Linked DNA regions of Schizosaccharomyces pombe. The gene in region 3 interacts genetically with the main gene of each other region. Each region holds a gene or a part of one and is shown on either strand. Other genes may lie near its edges.

Region 1 (4,274 bases), on a different chromosome or scaffold from region 3:
GCAGTCTCATCAGAATAAATACCAAATCCTCGTAAAGAACAGAGTTTGTAGATAGTTTGGGATTCGGTTTCTACAAATGTCGAAGTCCATTCCTCATTACAAGATTCTATTGAAAATTCGGAAAGAAGCAATCCAAAGGAATAGCCACCTGGAACAACATTGGAAACAGGTAAGTGTTCAAAACGTATGTGAATATCTCGGATATTTATTTGAATATTATCAATCATTCGAGTAATCAAAGACTCGGTAAAAGTTTGTGTCTTAGGGTCATATGCCGTTTCTGCTTTGCCAATCTGTGAAGCCTCCCACAGTTGCATTTGTCTTCTCTTTGACTCTAAGACTTGATGTGGGTCAACTTCTGATTGCGACTATAAATATGGTTAGTAACTGCTCTAAAACAACGTTATATTGTCCTAAGTGCTGTTTTATTCTATATTCATATTTGATCCCTACCTTCACATTTTCTTCCATTGAAGCCAAAGCACGAATTCCAACTATATATATTTCAACTGGTTTATTCTTTAAAGAAGACCATGGTATTTTGAGTGTCAGTTCTTCAACCAAACCATATTGAACCGAAATTGGTAATTCTAGTTTACGGAAAGCCTAACAATTTTATTAGATACAAAATCAAAATTTTCAATATAATTCATCTTATAATCTCATACACTCCGTTTCAACTGCAAGTTTCGTAGCGTAACATCTCCGTTCCAAACAGCGACTTTTAACTGAGTAGCGTCAAAATTCTCAATGTATTCTCCTAAGAGTCGATTTAAAAAATCTTTTTCGTTAGTTTCGTATTTAATACAAAAGACTTACTTGCTAGTAACCCTTCTAACATATTGAAGGGAATACGGTGAGAAACAGCAAACTGTAAATATTTTGAACTTTGCTTTACAGATGGTTTCGAACGCTACAACTACTGCGTTGAGGGTTATAAAGATAGAATGTCAGAGCATGACGTGAACGCCTACACCATAAGTAACATTAAGCTAAGTAACAGACATTTTCAAGAAAAGAAAAATCTCGTTTACGTTTGTAAAAATTTCAAGAAATCCATTAGAATATGTTAATAAAAAAAATTTAGTTTCTGTTTTCTTTGAAGAAGTAGCTACTAAAGTCGGAGTGGTTCAGCGGTAAATCATAGCAAATAATTTTTTGGCAGCAGTCATGATACAGGTTTAACAACCATTCCCATTTTTTTAAGGTATAATTTCATGAATTGAAGGAAGAAGATGTTTTCTTGCTCCAATTGAGTATTAAGCAACTGGAAAGTTCAATGTTAGTAAAAAGAATCGGATAAACACATTTTTCATAACCAATTTTAAATGGCTAAAATGAAAATATAAGTACCTTTGTATAGAGACTCTTTTTTTTAGGAGGTCCTCTTTTTTCGTGAGGCTCATGGTGTGCTAAAGGGTGCTGAGATGGAGTAGGTTGAGCGTCTATCGATTGTGAAGTATCTGCAGCGCCTAAGTTCTCCATAACTTTTTCTTTTTCCTTATTACCATCAATTAGTACGTGTGAATACAACTAGAGCAAACCTAAATAGACATACTTGTTTTGAGCGAATATTACTCTCTGTTGGCCAATTCTTTTTTCTCTCCTGAATCCAAGCTTCAATTTCCTCAGGTGTATTAATGGAAATATTCCTTCGCTTCAAGTATTCTATTCCATCAACTGCACAAGCTCCCCTAGTATTTCCGGCATGTGAACCCCCTCGAAAACTTCTCCCTCTTCCTCTTCCACTGCCTCGCTTTGTTGGCTTAAAAGAAAGATCTTGATCCATTCGCCGTTTCCCATGCCTTCCTACATTTTCTGTCTCACTACTAGAATTCTTTTGAGTCAAGGAGGCAGAAGAATTCGTTTGCTCAAAAGGTTTGTTTATGATGGGAGGAGGTGGAGGTTTATCATATATAAATGAGGTAGGATTCATCCCAAATAACTCAAAGCTTCAAGATAAATTCTCAAATTGAAAAATTAGTTTTCAAAGTCAATGTATAATCACCGCAACGCGAAATTGCAAAACACAATCAATAGAGTAAGGAACGTGTTTCTCATAAACGAGAATTTACAGAAATTCCAAAATGTAATATATGATTATTTTTAAACGCTGTGTTACCCTGATTAACAGATTCAATTGAAGTATGGTTTTAAAAAAATTTACGATGACTGGTTTTGATGTAGGTGTGTGTATCAGAAAATATAAGACGTCGATGTAGGACTAAATTAGGTTTTGCACCTTTCGCTTGATAAAGCAATTATAAAAAAAATAAGCCTTTAATTGCTCCAAATTTCAAATGGAGTTGTGAATAATATGAAAAAGTGGCAAAAAACATTGAGTGTATACAGCAGAATCATACACCCCAACTCAACAACTAACTTGAAAACGAGATGTAATGTAGAACAGCAAAATACTACTAATTTCACAGTATTAGCTCCCTATTGAAATAATTAATTATTCTACCAACACTAGACTATTTGTGCAATATTTATTTCATTCAGTTTAATTTCAGTTATATAGAGGGACAGTGATAATATCCAGAATGTATAAGCTAATTTCACTTGTCGATTTTTTAACTTTTGAATTTCCTGCTTTACATCTCTGAAGCAAATTAAAATTGATGAGTGTATCAACAATATCCTTACTTGAATATAGTCTGTCCTAATATTTACTATGTATAAAGAAGCGGCTTATACAATTCTCATTTATTGATTAAGTTAATTTCTGTTAAGCTTTACTATGAGAATGGTGATTTGAATCCTCTTTTGGAATTAACTATGTTTAAGCTTATGTTTTGTACTGCTCCCGAGATCTTAACTGAAGCCTATCGTCACCTCGTCAATACGAATTTTTTTCAATTGTAAAGCATATGCAATAAAATATAGAATGATTATTTAATATAGGGCCTTTATATTATTTTTAAGTCTTTGTGGTATTTTGTAGGGATATACTGTCGAAATGGATTCATTTCATCCAACACCTGGAAAACCGACCACAGCAACATCAAATTCAAGTCTGAACTTTTTTGTAAGAAACAGAGAGAAAAGTATTAGGTGCTCAAGCTTGCATCAAACTTTTACAGCCCCTTCTCCTGAAGCTTCACCGTCAATCGGATTAAGATATGTAAATTACTCAATGAGCGACGAAACTGATGAATCTATGTTTCCACTTGATTCAGAACTGACCGATATGGAAGATGATGATACCGAGTACATATCAGACTCTACAACAGACTTGCCGTCCGCTGCCATGGCTAGAGGAACTAGGCAGTTGAGTTACAATGAAAATTTGGATCAGCGTTCGTTTTCTAAGACTCCAAATAAACATATTGAAGTAAAAAATTTAAAGGACCTTTGTAGTCCCTCTCATTCTGGAAGAATTTCGAAATCTTTGTGTCCTGTGTTACGAAGAAAGTCTTTGCTTCCCAAACCGAAAATGTTCCAACGCGTAGCCAGTGCCTTGTATGAAGAATCATCTCCTCTGGAGTTGGAAATCCGTAGTGAATCGGAATTTTCCAAGATGTTTTTCGAGCCTAAAAAATCATCATCCTTTGTTTCTAGAGCTGCTTCGCCTGCAATGGTAGGTCCGGGTGTACCGTTTTACAGTTCTATAACAGGTGCAAATGGTAATGTTCTCGCACCATCAGGATCTTTGAAAGCTGTTGAGAACTCTGATGTAATTGAGTCATCTGCAGAGGACAGTAGTAATACGGACAATCCATCTACTAAGCCTTCGAATGAGATGCCCATATCTCCTCTGCTTTCCAGTTCTGTATTTTTTAAGGATACAGAAATGTCAACTCCGAATAGCAATCACTCCAGATCCCGTACCCCATCCTCGAAAAAGCGAACTCGATGGGGCGAAGAAATAATCGACTTATCGAAGAGAAGAGCTGTATCTCCTTCCATTTATTATGATTTGGATAAGAAATGCTCTCCTATTCATTCTGTTATGGTCAGCCCCTTGAAGATTAAGGATACTCACGAAGTCTTGATGAATTTAAAGTTATGAACTAGCTCACGCTGCGAAGTGTGTATTTATTTGTACAATAATTGAATAATTAATTTCCTATCTTTTTACGCAACTTATTTTGTAGTAGCTTTTTATCATGTTGAATCTAGTTTACAATGTTACAGCGCCGTTATTTTTATTACTCTTTATAAAGAACAGCTTGTTATCATATCATTGTTTTGATATGTAAACAAAAGTCCTAAAAATCCGTTTACGGTTTCAGCAGCATAACATTATATTCTAAAATTTAAAACGACTT
Region 2 (4,369 bases), on a different chromosome or scaffold from region 3:
TATTATAAACCTTAATATACGTTAAACTGTCAGCTACGCAGTTTGGTATCTGATTTAAGGATACGTAGAACTGCGGCGAGTTTTCCTTGTGATCTTTTATATTACAATAAACAGGTTGTTTGAGTAGCAACTGAGTATAGGTATTGTATTAACTGGGTTATAATGTTACCTATCACTAATATAGCTCATAATTGAACTCAGAAACGAGGTTCAGCAGTAGCTCTATTTACAATCTTTCTAAATAGTTATCAACGGATATCTATGATATGATGTTGAACATGTGACATATAGTGATACGCAACGTAGTTGTCATATCGTAGTGCAGTATTGCTGACATTATTTAACAAACATACTAAGGCATAATATTCATTACAAGGAAGAAGATAAAACAAACGTCGAATCGGTATACCAAACGTAATATGATTGAACAATTTAAAAATGATCATTTCCCTCCTTGCAAAATTCATAGCTGCAATTTAAATGCGTTTTAAAGTACTCACAACGTTACTTAATTCAAGTATTGTTGACAAACAAATGTTTTAGTACGCTACTCATTTCCCATTCTGGTAATAATTTTCATGTACCATTTTTTAAACCAAAGTCGTGTTCGTGCTCAATGAATATCATTTGTAGTCTCCAGCCTTCGCTTCGCGAAAGAAGAGTTCACGCAATTTTAAAAAATTGACTTTGTAAGTTTGTAAGCGCTAAAAAAAATGAAGCATTTGGTCATTGTTTCATCCTTTAAGGCAACTAAATATGTGTGCTACATGAATAAGTTGCTGGAGCTACCTATAATTAATAATTACTAATATACTGGATGGAAAATTCTTTCTATTCTTTGACCGCGATGGATTAAATTCAAATGTTTTATCGATTCACAAGATACTCGTAATGTTGTCTTCAAAAATAAACGAATTTTGCTTTTTGTTTCAATGTGAATTTTGACTTACAAGTTAGAGGTACATATCAAATATAGGATGCTAATATAGCACAAGTTAATATTCTAAAAAAAAATCTAATAATTACTCAAAGTCTAACCCATGCACTATCAAAATAAATGATGAATGATTTGATATGACAAGCCAGCCAATAGATTACTCCATCAATTAGAATGTAGCATTTGGGTCTTTGGTATAGCTATATTTTTCATTATCAACGATTAGACACAGCCTGTGACTCTTGCTTGCTTTTGCGAATATTCACAGCTCTAACGAAACAGTTATTTCTGAAATATATAACCTATTTTCTCATGCGATATTGATAAACCTATCGTTCTTCCGTTAGTCCGTCTTCCGATTGACAAAGAGTAAACGTTTAATATTATATTATCCCAAAATTTAAAACAAAACCTATTATACAAGAGCCCCAAACCTTCTTATACCGAAAGACCAGTTCTTTCCTAAACAATACCTTGTTTATCTTCTTTTGTAAATGCAAGCACTTAATATGGGAGGGAGTTCTTCACATTTCCCGTGTACAGGTACTTTTTTGAACTCAAACAGAGTAAACATTTTGTTTTGAAGCTGAATGGACTTAGTTTCAAAGCCTAATTTTGGAAGTTCTTTAGCAAAAACTTCTCCACTCTTATCAGAGAATCTGCTTTTGATTTCAGCAACCCAAAGTAAACCACCGACTTTAAGAATACGATAAGCTTCTTTCAAAAAAGATTGCCAATTGGTGCCCATAAGACTTAAACAAAATACAGCAATATCGACAGTTTCGTCAGCCATTGGAACATTCGCAATATCACAGGCTACCACATGTTCATTGGGAGCAACAAGGTCAAAGCTGTGCACTTGCAAAGAACGTGATTTTCTAAATGTAGAAGCTATTTTAGCTTCTCCGCAACCGAGGTCAGCAATTACAATATTGTTTTTCTTCTTTGCGTTTGAATGCTCAAATCTGATCTTTAAATGTTGAATGAAAATATCAACAGGATTTTCCGGCCAACCTTCAACTTGATATCGAAAACCAGCGTGATAAATATCAAACAAATCTGGATTTTCCTTGAACATTTGTACAGCTTTGTCACTTTCCGTAGTGTACAATTGTTCATTTATCCATCGAAAATTGGCACCATCTAGTTTATCTTTCATTTTTTGTTGAAGAGACGTTAACTTAGTATGCTTAGCATCCCCCTTGTTTTTCTCTTTAATAGAAGGGACTGATTTTTCTTTTTTAATCTCGCTTTTCAGGGAATTGTTTGTGGTAACCGACTTTGCCTTTTTTAAAACTTTTTCGTTGAGCTTTTCGCCTTTATCTCCTACATTCTTTCTCTCACCTTTCTTTCTTTTTTTTTCTTTTCTAGATTCTTTCGTTTGGTCTGATGCGCTTTTACTTACTGGACCTAAGTCCCAATCTACTTTAAACATGAAGTAGGGAATAAGATTAAATTTGGTTGTAAGAAAACTTCATCCTACGTACGTCAAACCAATGAAACCATAAAAGTTTCTAAGTATTAAAATAAATAACATTCATTTTTTGTGAACGTAAAATTAAAATAACAAATACTTGAAAAAACTAATCTTGAAATATAAAACTCAGTTTGATTAAGCAATTACGCATATATATAGAATTTTTACTTTCTGATACAAAACACATAAAAAATGATATAAAACACATTAATTTGAAAGAATTCGTCTACAATAGTAGAACAGGACCGATCTTGAAAATAATCATTTCCCTAATTTTTATCATGACTAAAATCATTGATTATGTATATCCAATCTCCCCGAAATCGAATTAAGTCGTTAAAGGAGAAAAGAAGCAGCTACATCTAAATCTCCATTCGCAGCGTCTAACGCCTGCGCAGCCTCTAATGGATCAAATCCCATACTGACTAGCTGTGCAATTTTGGAGTTCAAACCGGGGTCAGTGGGAGGATTTACCAAGGAAGGGGGATTGGAAGATCCCTCATTGTTGGGTGCTACGCTTTCTTTGGTACCAAGACGAGTGCCACTTTGTGGATTAGGTGAAGAAGCGCTCGCCTTACTTGCAGGTTCAATACCTAAACCGTGTGCATTTGCAGATGGCTCCACATTAGCCAGCAATTTTGGAATTTCAGATTCTCCAAGAAAAGGAATTTCTTTTCCATGAATCCGAAGAACGTTATTTTCTAAATCTATACAAGCTTGATAACGGCGTAACATATCAAGACCAAGTAGCATATCAACATCCCGACCTTCAATAACAGTAAATCGACATGGAAGATATAAATCGCCAATCTTTAAAGGTGCACTGTGAACACAACCTAATATTTTAGCCATTCCTACGCCCTTAGCGACACCTTGAAATCTAGTGTCAAGAAGCCTGGTAAGACCGCACTTTTCAGCGCAATCAGCAGACAAAATGGTAGCTTGAGCACCAGAATCCACAAATGCTTTCACCTTATGACCGTTAATCTCAACGTTTACAAAAAGCATATAAACTTGACCAAACACTTCAGGATGGTTTTCTATTGCCGATTGCATATTCTCGGTCACGGCATTTTGACGAATCTGCTCTTCAATACGTCGTTGGACTTCAACATCAAAGAGGTCATCTTCCTACAAAAATGTTAGTAAATCACCTTCGAAAGCCCTTTATTTATTGTGTCCATTAAAACTAAATTATTGGACTCAGCAGTTTATACGGGCGCTATTATGCGAAATTAAACGTACAGAAAATGAAGGCATTCCCATCGAATATGTAGAAGAAGGAATCTGCAATAATTGAGAAGCATTAATGGACTGCCATGTAGTAGCAAACGCATTGGGATCATTAAGGACAGCAGCTAGTTGAGGAAACTCTGTGCGTATTCGATTTAATAGAAAAGGAGTTGCTAAAATCGTTTGACGAATATTTTCTGGTGTTAAATTATTCATTTTTGTGTTTTCTTAATCACTCTTTGAGGTTATGGTAGAGGAAGGACCTGATTTGGCAGCATGACACGACTTGACTAATCGGCCACCCATATCAATTGCCATCCATAAAGGAATGGCCAAATAAGGAAAATAAAAACTCATTATCATCCATTTTTTTTCAGCAAATAACTCGAACATGCAGCACCATGTCGTAGTAAAAGCATGCACCCCGTATATGAGAATTGCAACCCATAAAACTGGATCCCTCGCTTTCTTTCGTAAGCGTAGAGAAACCCAAATAAAAAAAGGAACTTGAAAGAAAAGTTCTGAAGAAAACAATGCAGTTTTCCAAGGCGCAGGGATTAAAAGAATAGGGTCTTCATATGTAGATAAATAAAAGCGTCGCAAACCAGAAAGACAGCTTAAAGAGCCTCCAAGCCATTCAGTTATAGGTAAATCAACAAATAATGCTGCAGCTAGATGGCTTACGAAATAATAGTAATACAAGGTATCCATGTGAAGGCGTG
Region 3 (4,900 bases):
GAGGAGAGGAATTCTGTTGTATTGAGAGGCGACAAGGAAATCGTTGAAGCCCTTGAGACCCGATTATTGGAGATAGTTGAAGAGCTGAAGAACCAAGTCGAAGAGAAGATTGAAGTCCCGCAGAGATGTATAAGCTCAATCATTGGAAGAATGGGCTCCACTCGTCGTGACATCGAAAGGAAAACGTCTACCATGCTCAACATCCCGAATGTTCTTGACCCTGAAGAGACTGTCACTATTACAATCGTCGGAAGTCCGGAGAATTGTGAAAAAGCCAAGGAAATGATTCAAGAGAAGGTTGCCAGTCAATATACCCAGATGATTACAGTTCCCGATACGGTCTATGAAAGTATAATGAAAGGTATTTTAATGAAAAAGCTTCGATCCGATCTCAAAGTGTTTGTTGATACCCCCGAGATCAAGCCTGTACAACCCACGGAGGTTGTTCTTGAAGACCACGAGGATGGCGTTTTCCCTTGGAAACTGGTAACTCACGACTACACTGGTTCTTCTTCATCTGAGTGGGCTGTTCGAGGACATAAGGAAAATGTTGAAAAGGCTATCGCTTCATTGGAAAAATCTATCAAGCAAGTTATGGAAAATTGTATTGCTTACTTGGGTATCCCAACGAACTTGCACCGTCGTATAATCGGTTCTGGTGGCTCTATTATTAATAAGATCCGAAAGATCGCCCAAGTTAAAATTGATGTTCCTCGTACTCCAGGCGATGAAATTGTAGTAGTCCAAGGAAGTCGAGCTGGCGTTGTCAAGGCTAAAGATCTGATTTTCGAGAGACTTCAAGAAAACCAAAATCAAGAGTAAGGTAAAATTTTGGAGCCTTTATTTAGTACTTACATTCATTTCTCAAATTTTTTTGAGAGTGTATTTGAAAATTATGTGTACGAAATATCATTTTGTCGCTCTTTTATTACTACATGTCATTTTTTAAGGAGACGGAAATTGCTTGAATCGAGCATTTTCCTTATTGATTCCTTCTTTGCTTTGTTACATTGCCTTTGTTTAATATTACAAATATAGACGCATAGGAAAAAGGCGTACCTAGTGCATTTATTCAATCTTTTCAGATATAAACATTGGAATGTATAGATAATTCAAGAAACTAGAATAGTTGAAATCTATGATTTTTTATGAGAAAATAAGCATTGTACGACAGATAGGACACAACAAGTTTTAGTAAAAGAATATTATAAATTTACAAACAACGAGCTAAAATTTAACCATTTCTCAAAAGAAGAACCATATTAGGACGTTTTTTTTTTCCAAATAGCGTAAATAAGTTAAAAAAACCCAGAAAACCCCAAAATAAAGAACACCGGAAGTAAGGAGAAATATGAGACGAAAGAATGTGGAGTATGAAGTATATAATGAAAGAAACAAAAGGCCTCGTACAATAAATAGACTATTGAAGAAGCGCATCGCGGAAATGCTTTTTTGTGTTATTCTTAATACCCATCTTGTTAGCAAATTCCTCTCTTCTTCTTTGGTCTTGGAATGATTTGATATGAGAGGCACTATAATTCTTACGGCCATCGCGAACACCAGCTATACTTGTTTCAACAGCTTGTCTATAAGCTCGGGCATTACCACTCATCGCACGTCTGGCGACGTTCTGATGAATAGAAGCACCATCTCCTACAGCGGTAGAACTAGAGTGAAGATTTTGGCGGAAGTAGCGAGATAACGAACGATGGCCCACACGATTACCAGAGGGTAAATGAAGTTCATATTCGTCAGCAATGGGTACACGACCCATTTCAAGACTATCTAAGCTGGAGTTATCTGAATCATCAGAAACATCTTCCCAGTCTCCTTCACCAGAGCTTCCATCTTCTTCTACGACAGTTTCGTCTTGCTTTACTGCATAGTCAGGATACGATGTAGTAAAATCATAAAAATCAGAGAGTTCAAGCTGTTCATCTTCTGTATCATAGGCAATAGAGGTATGCCCCTTTTGCTGCATATGGGCACGAACAGCTTCTAGTGATTTAAATTCACGATTGCAGGTAAGGCAAGTAAAGCCGATAGAAATTTTCTCTGCTAAATAATCGAATAGACTTGGTTCATCTACCAAATATTCCCGCTCAGGAATGTACAAGCTATGAGAAGCCTTCATATGCTTCTTGCATGTATCAAATGAAGAAAAAGAGGCTGCGCAAAACAGGCAATCTCTTGGTGAAAGACGTTGACTACTTCGACGAGCAAGTTCAGCTTCAATTTCTTCAGGAGTTGGTTCTTGTGTAAATAGATGAGACTTGGAAGCTTCGTTCGATTGAGGTATGGAAGTAGCCAATTCAGTTTTAGAGGGTTCACTTTCTCGACCATGAAGAGATAAGTTGGAAAGGGATATCGCCCTTGATGTCAGTTGTGAAGCTAAATCTTCTTCTTCCTCAATTTCGCTATCAACTACAGGTTCACCCATTGACAAGGTTGAAGAAGCAATACTACTTGCATCTTCACTTTGAAGTTTCTTAATACGGCTGTTTCTTTGAAATTTGCTCAAGTTATCGCGATGCTTCTTCGAAGCCATATGTGATGAATAGGCGCCTTCTGAATAAAACTTTTTATTACATACTTCACAGTTTTGATAAAATTCTGCTTTTTTCTGGACTTCCTCGTTCTGCTTTTGAATGGACAAAATCTTTCCAGCAAACACCTCAGCACTCAACGGCGGCAAGCTAGCAACCTTTCTCTTCAGATTATAATGATGCCAGTCAGACTTCCAATGTATTTTCTGTGATTCTGCATTATTGAAAGCCACAGTACAAGTCGTGCAAGCAAAAGAAGTCGACATTTCGGTATTCTGTCAAGTAATTCAATTCTTAGCCAGTACACTTTTTTATCGAAAAAAAAATTGATATTGAAGCCGAGTCTTTCCTCAAATATATTCTTTGACTCAAACTAACTTAATGAGATGAAGTCAACCCTTTTTTACAATACCTTGCACAAAAAGGTGTTGGTTGAATCCAACTTGCCTACGATCAACTATTGCCTACATAACTTGTAGCACCACCAAATTATTTTAAAGTGTCAAATAATTATCAATTTTATTGAAATCAAATAAAATTAATTGATATGTTAAACATCTTAATGTCTTGTTTTTTTAAACTTAATTTATGCATCCCTCAAAAACATTTTCTATTGCTTAGTAACATAAGGCGTACCTTTTGATTAACCAGTAAGTCCTAAGAAAACTCATATATAGACAAAGGGCTGGAAAGAAAGAAATGGCATGCATTGTAGTTTTAGCGAGCACACGAGCTCCCACTCTTCAGGGTTTAATTAAAATTGAGTATTTGAAATTGAGGTATTTTTGAGTTAGTTTCGTTGGAATAATCATATAGGAAATACATAATAGAGTTTAATGTCTTTTCCTTTTGTTTAATAAGTTTCCTTGCCTCAATAAGAAAGTTAGCACATGTGCTTTCTTATCTCTTTTCCCTCGGGGTTTAATTAGTGTTAAAATTTCGTTTTATGATAAATGGTCAGCTGTTTCTTTTAAACCTTTCACTAAATGACTCAGTGTTCCAGGATCTCTAGCACGATTGGGATACCAATCCTCAAACAGATTATTCCATAATTCCTTCTCCTCAGTATCTTCGGGTGAAAAAAAGTAAGAAGGGTTTCCAGATGATTTCTCTTTAAATTTCATTGACCATGCTTTAAAAGTTTCAATTTGTTCCATGATTTCTTCTTCATTCATCAATTTCAAGTCATCGTCACTAAAATTTATATCCCAATTATTTGCCTTTGATCCAAGAAACAATGTAAGCATCGTAATTGTAATCTGCTTATAGTTAGCATTTTACTCCACTAAATGTGATTGAAATCAACAGTCATAAAAGATAGATAGACAGCAACATTAGAGACTTACGAAAACTTTGCTTAAAAAGGAGTTTCCATTTTTTTGCTTCGCAACCTTAGCTGCTTTTAAAAATATATTTGTAAAAATACAGTTTCTATCTCTCATATCAGAAAGCAGAAGAAGAAATAAAACTTTCAAAGAAGAATAACAGACGATAGGACCGACTTCAAGACTACAAATTTCGCATAATTTTTCTGACAGTTTAATGTTCCAATCATTGACGTCTCGCAGACAGACCATTTCCTTTGCAAAGCATCCAAACTTATTTAAAGCTAAAACCAAGTTTTGCGTTTCACTTGTAAAGTTAGCAATCTAATAACAAAAAGAAAAATCCTTACTCATTGCCATTCAACTGATTTTTTTTGTTTATTTTTTTTCTTTGAATGTATGCATTGAGTTGCTCGTGTAAACTTTCTGCTAAATCATTATATACATTGTCAATGGCAAATAATATATCTTCCTGTACAACTTTGTTGACCGCCAATCGGTGGAAGAATCTGCTGCACAAAATCATCAGGAAGTTAACGGTAGTTGAATTAAATATATCCAGTATTTCTTTATACAACTTTGAAAAGTCCTTATGAAATTCTCTCTTATAAAGAAGCTCGTCAGGAATTTGCTCTACGCATTTTATAAAAAAGTATGATGAAACACAAGATTCTCTGTATTTCTGTAATAGTAATGGAAGGTTTCGTAACATTGCTTGCTGTTGGTTTACGACCTCATCTTCAAGTCTTTTACCTGGCTTCTTCGACTAGAGGTTTAGTAATATGAAGCTTTAAATAACTTACTCTTTTGCTAATATGTGTTGCAAAATAATGGAGATAGATAGAAGAAAATTCTATCACTGCGTTGCTCGGTATACAGGGGTTTAAGACACTGTTAGTATCTTTTGCATCAAAGCGATCATAAAGCAAGAGCTTTGCAACATCCTCCCAACTGGCAAGTAATTGTGAGTTTGTATGAATGGAATGCATGCTTTCCTCAATTAATTGCTGCCTATGATTATTCATATCA

The links. Genes that interact genetically often act in the same process or in processes that back each other up.
Region 1: mutations in rei1 (region 3) and rsa1 together harm fitness more than expected from each alone (negative genetic interaction), as found in Schizosaccharomyces pombe (one large-scale study listed by BioGRID).
Region 2: mutations in rei1 (region 3) and rrp8 together harm fitness more than expected from each alone (negative genetic interaction), as found in Schizosaccharomyces pombe (one large-scale study listed by BioGRID).

Annotation. Positions count from the first base shown.
Region 1 is NC_003423.3:4,331,188-4,335,461, forward strand, and holds rsa1 (ribosome assembly protein), read right to left. Parts: upstream 2,199-4,274; 5' UTR 1,937-2,198; coding exon 1,559-1,936; exon of another isoform or gene 1,501-1,558; coding exon 1,354-1,500; exon of another isoform or gene 1,278-1,353; intron 1,268-1,277; coding exon 1,169-1,267; 3' UTR 991-1,168; downstream 1-990. Other genes in the region: vps1302 (lipid transfer protein), read right to left, coding at 1-368, 454-606, 669-781, 820-841; protein Dbl6, read left to right, coding at 2,963-4,015.
Region 2 is NC_003424.3:1,138,624-1,142,992, reverse strand, and holds rrp8 (rRNA methyltransferase Rrp8), read right to left. Parts: upstream 2,385-4,369; 5' UTR 2,373-2,384; coding exon 1,416-2,372; 3' UTR 991-1,415; downstream 1-990. Other genes in the region: UBA domain protein Mud1, read right to left, coding at 2,751-3,545, 3,660-3,863; protein ema19, read right to left, coding at 3,876-4,369. UniProt on the Schizosaccharomyces pombe protein: S-adenosyl-L-methionine-dependent methyltransferase that specifically methylates the N(1) position of adenine in helix 25.1 in 25S rRNA. Required both for ribosomal 40S and 60S subunits biogenesis. Required for efficient pre-rRNA cleavage at site A2.
Region 3 is NC_003421.2:1,220,196-1,225,095, forward strand, and holds rei1 (ribosome biogenesis protein), read right to left. Parts: upstream 2,987-4,900; 5' UTR 2,813-2,986; coding exon 1,421-2,812; 3' UTR 1,044-1,420; downstream 1-1,043. Other genes in the region: vgl1 (vigilin), read left to right, coding at 1-822; meiotic cohesin complex STAG protein Rec11, read right to left, coding at 3,491-3,805, 3,893-4,178, 4,222-4,637, 4,675-4,900.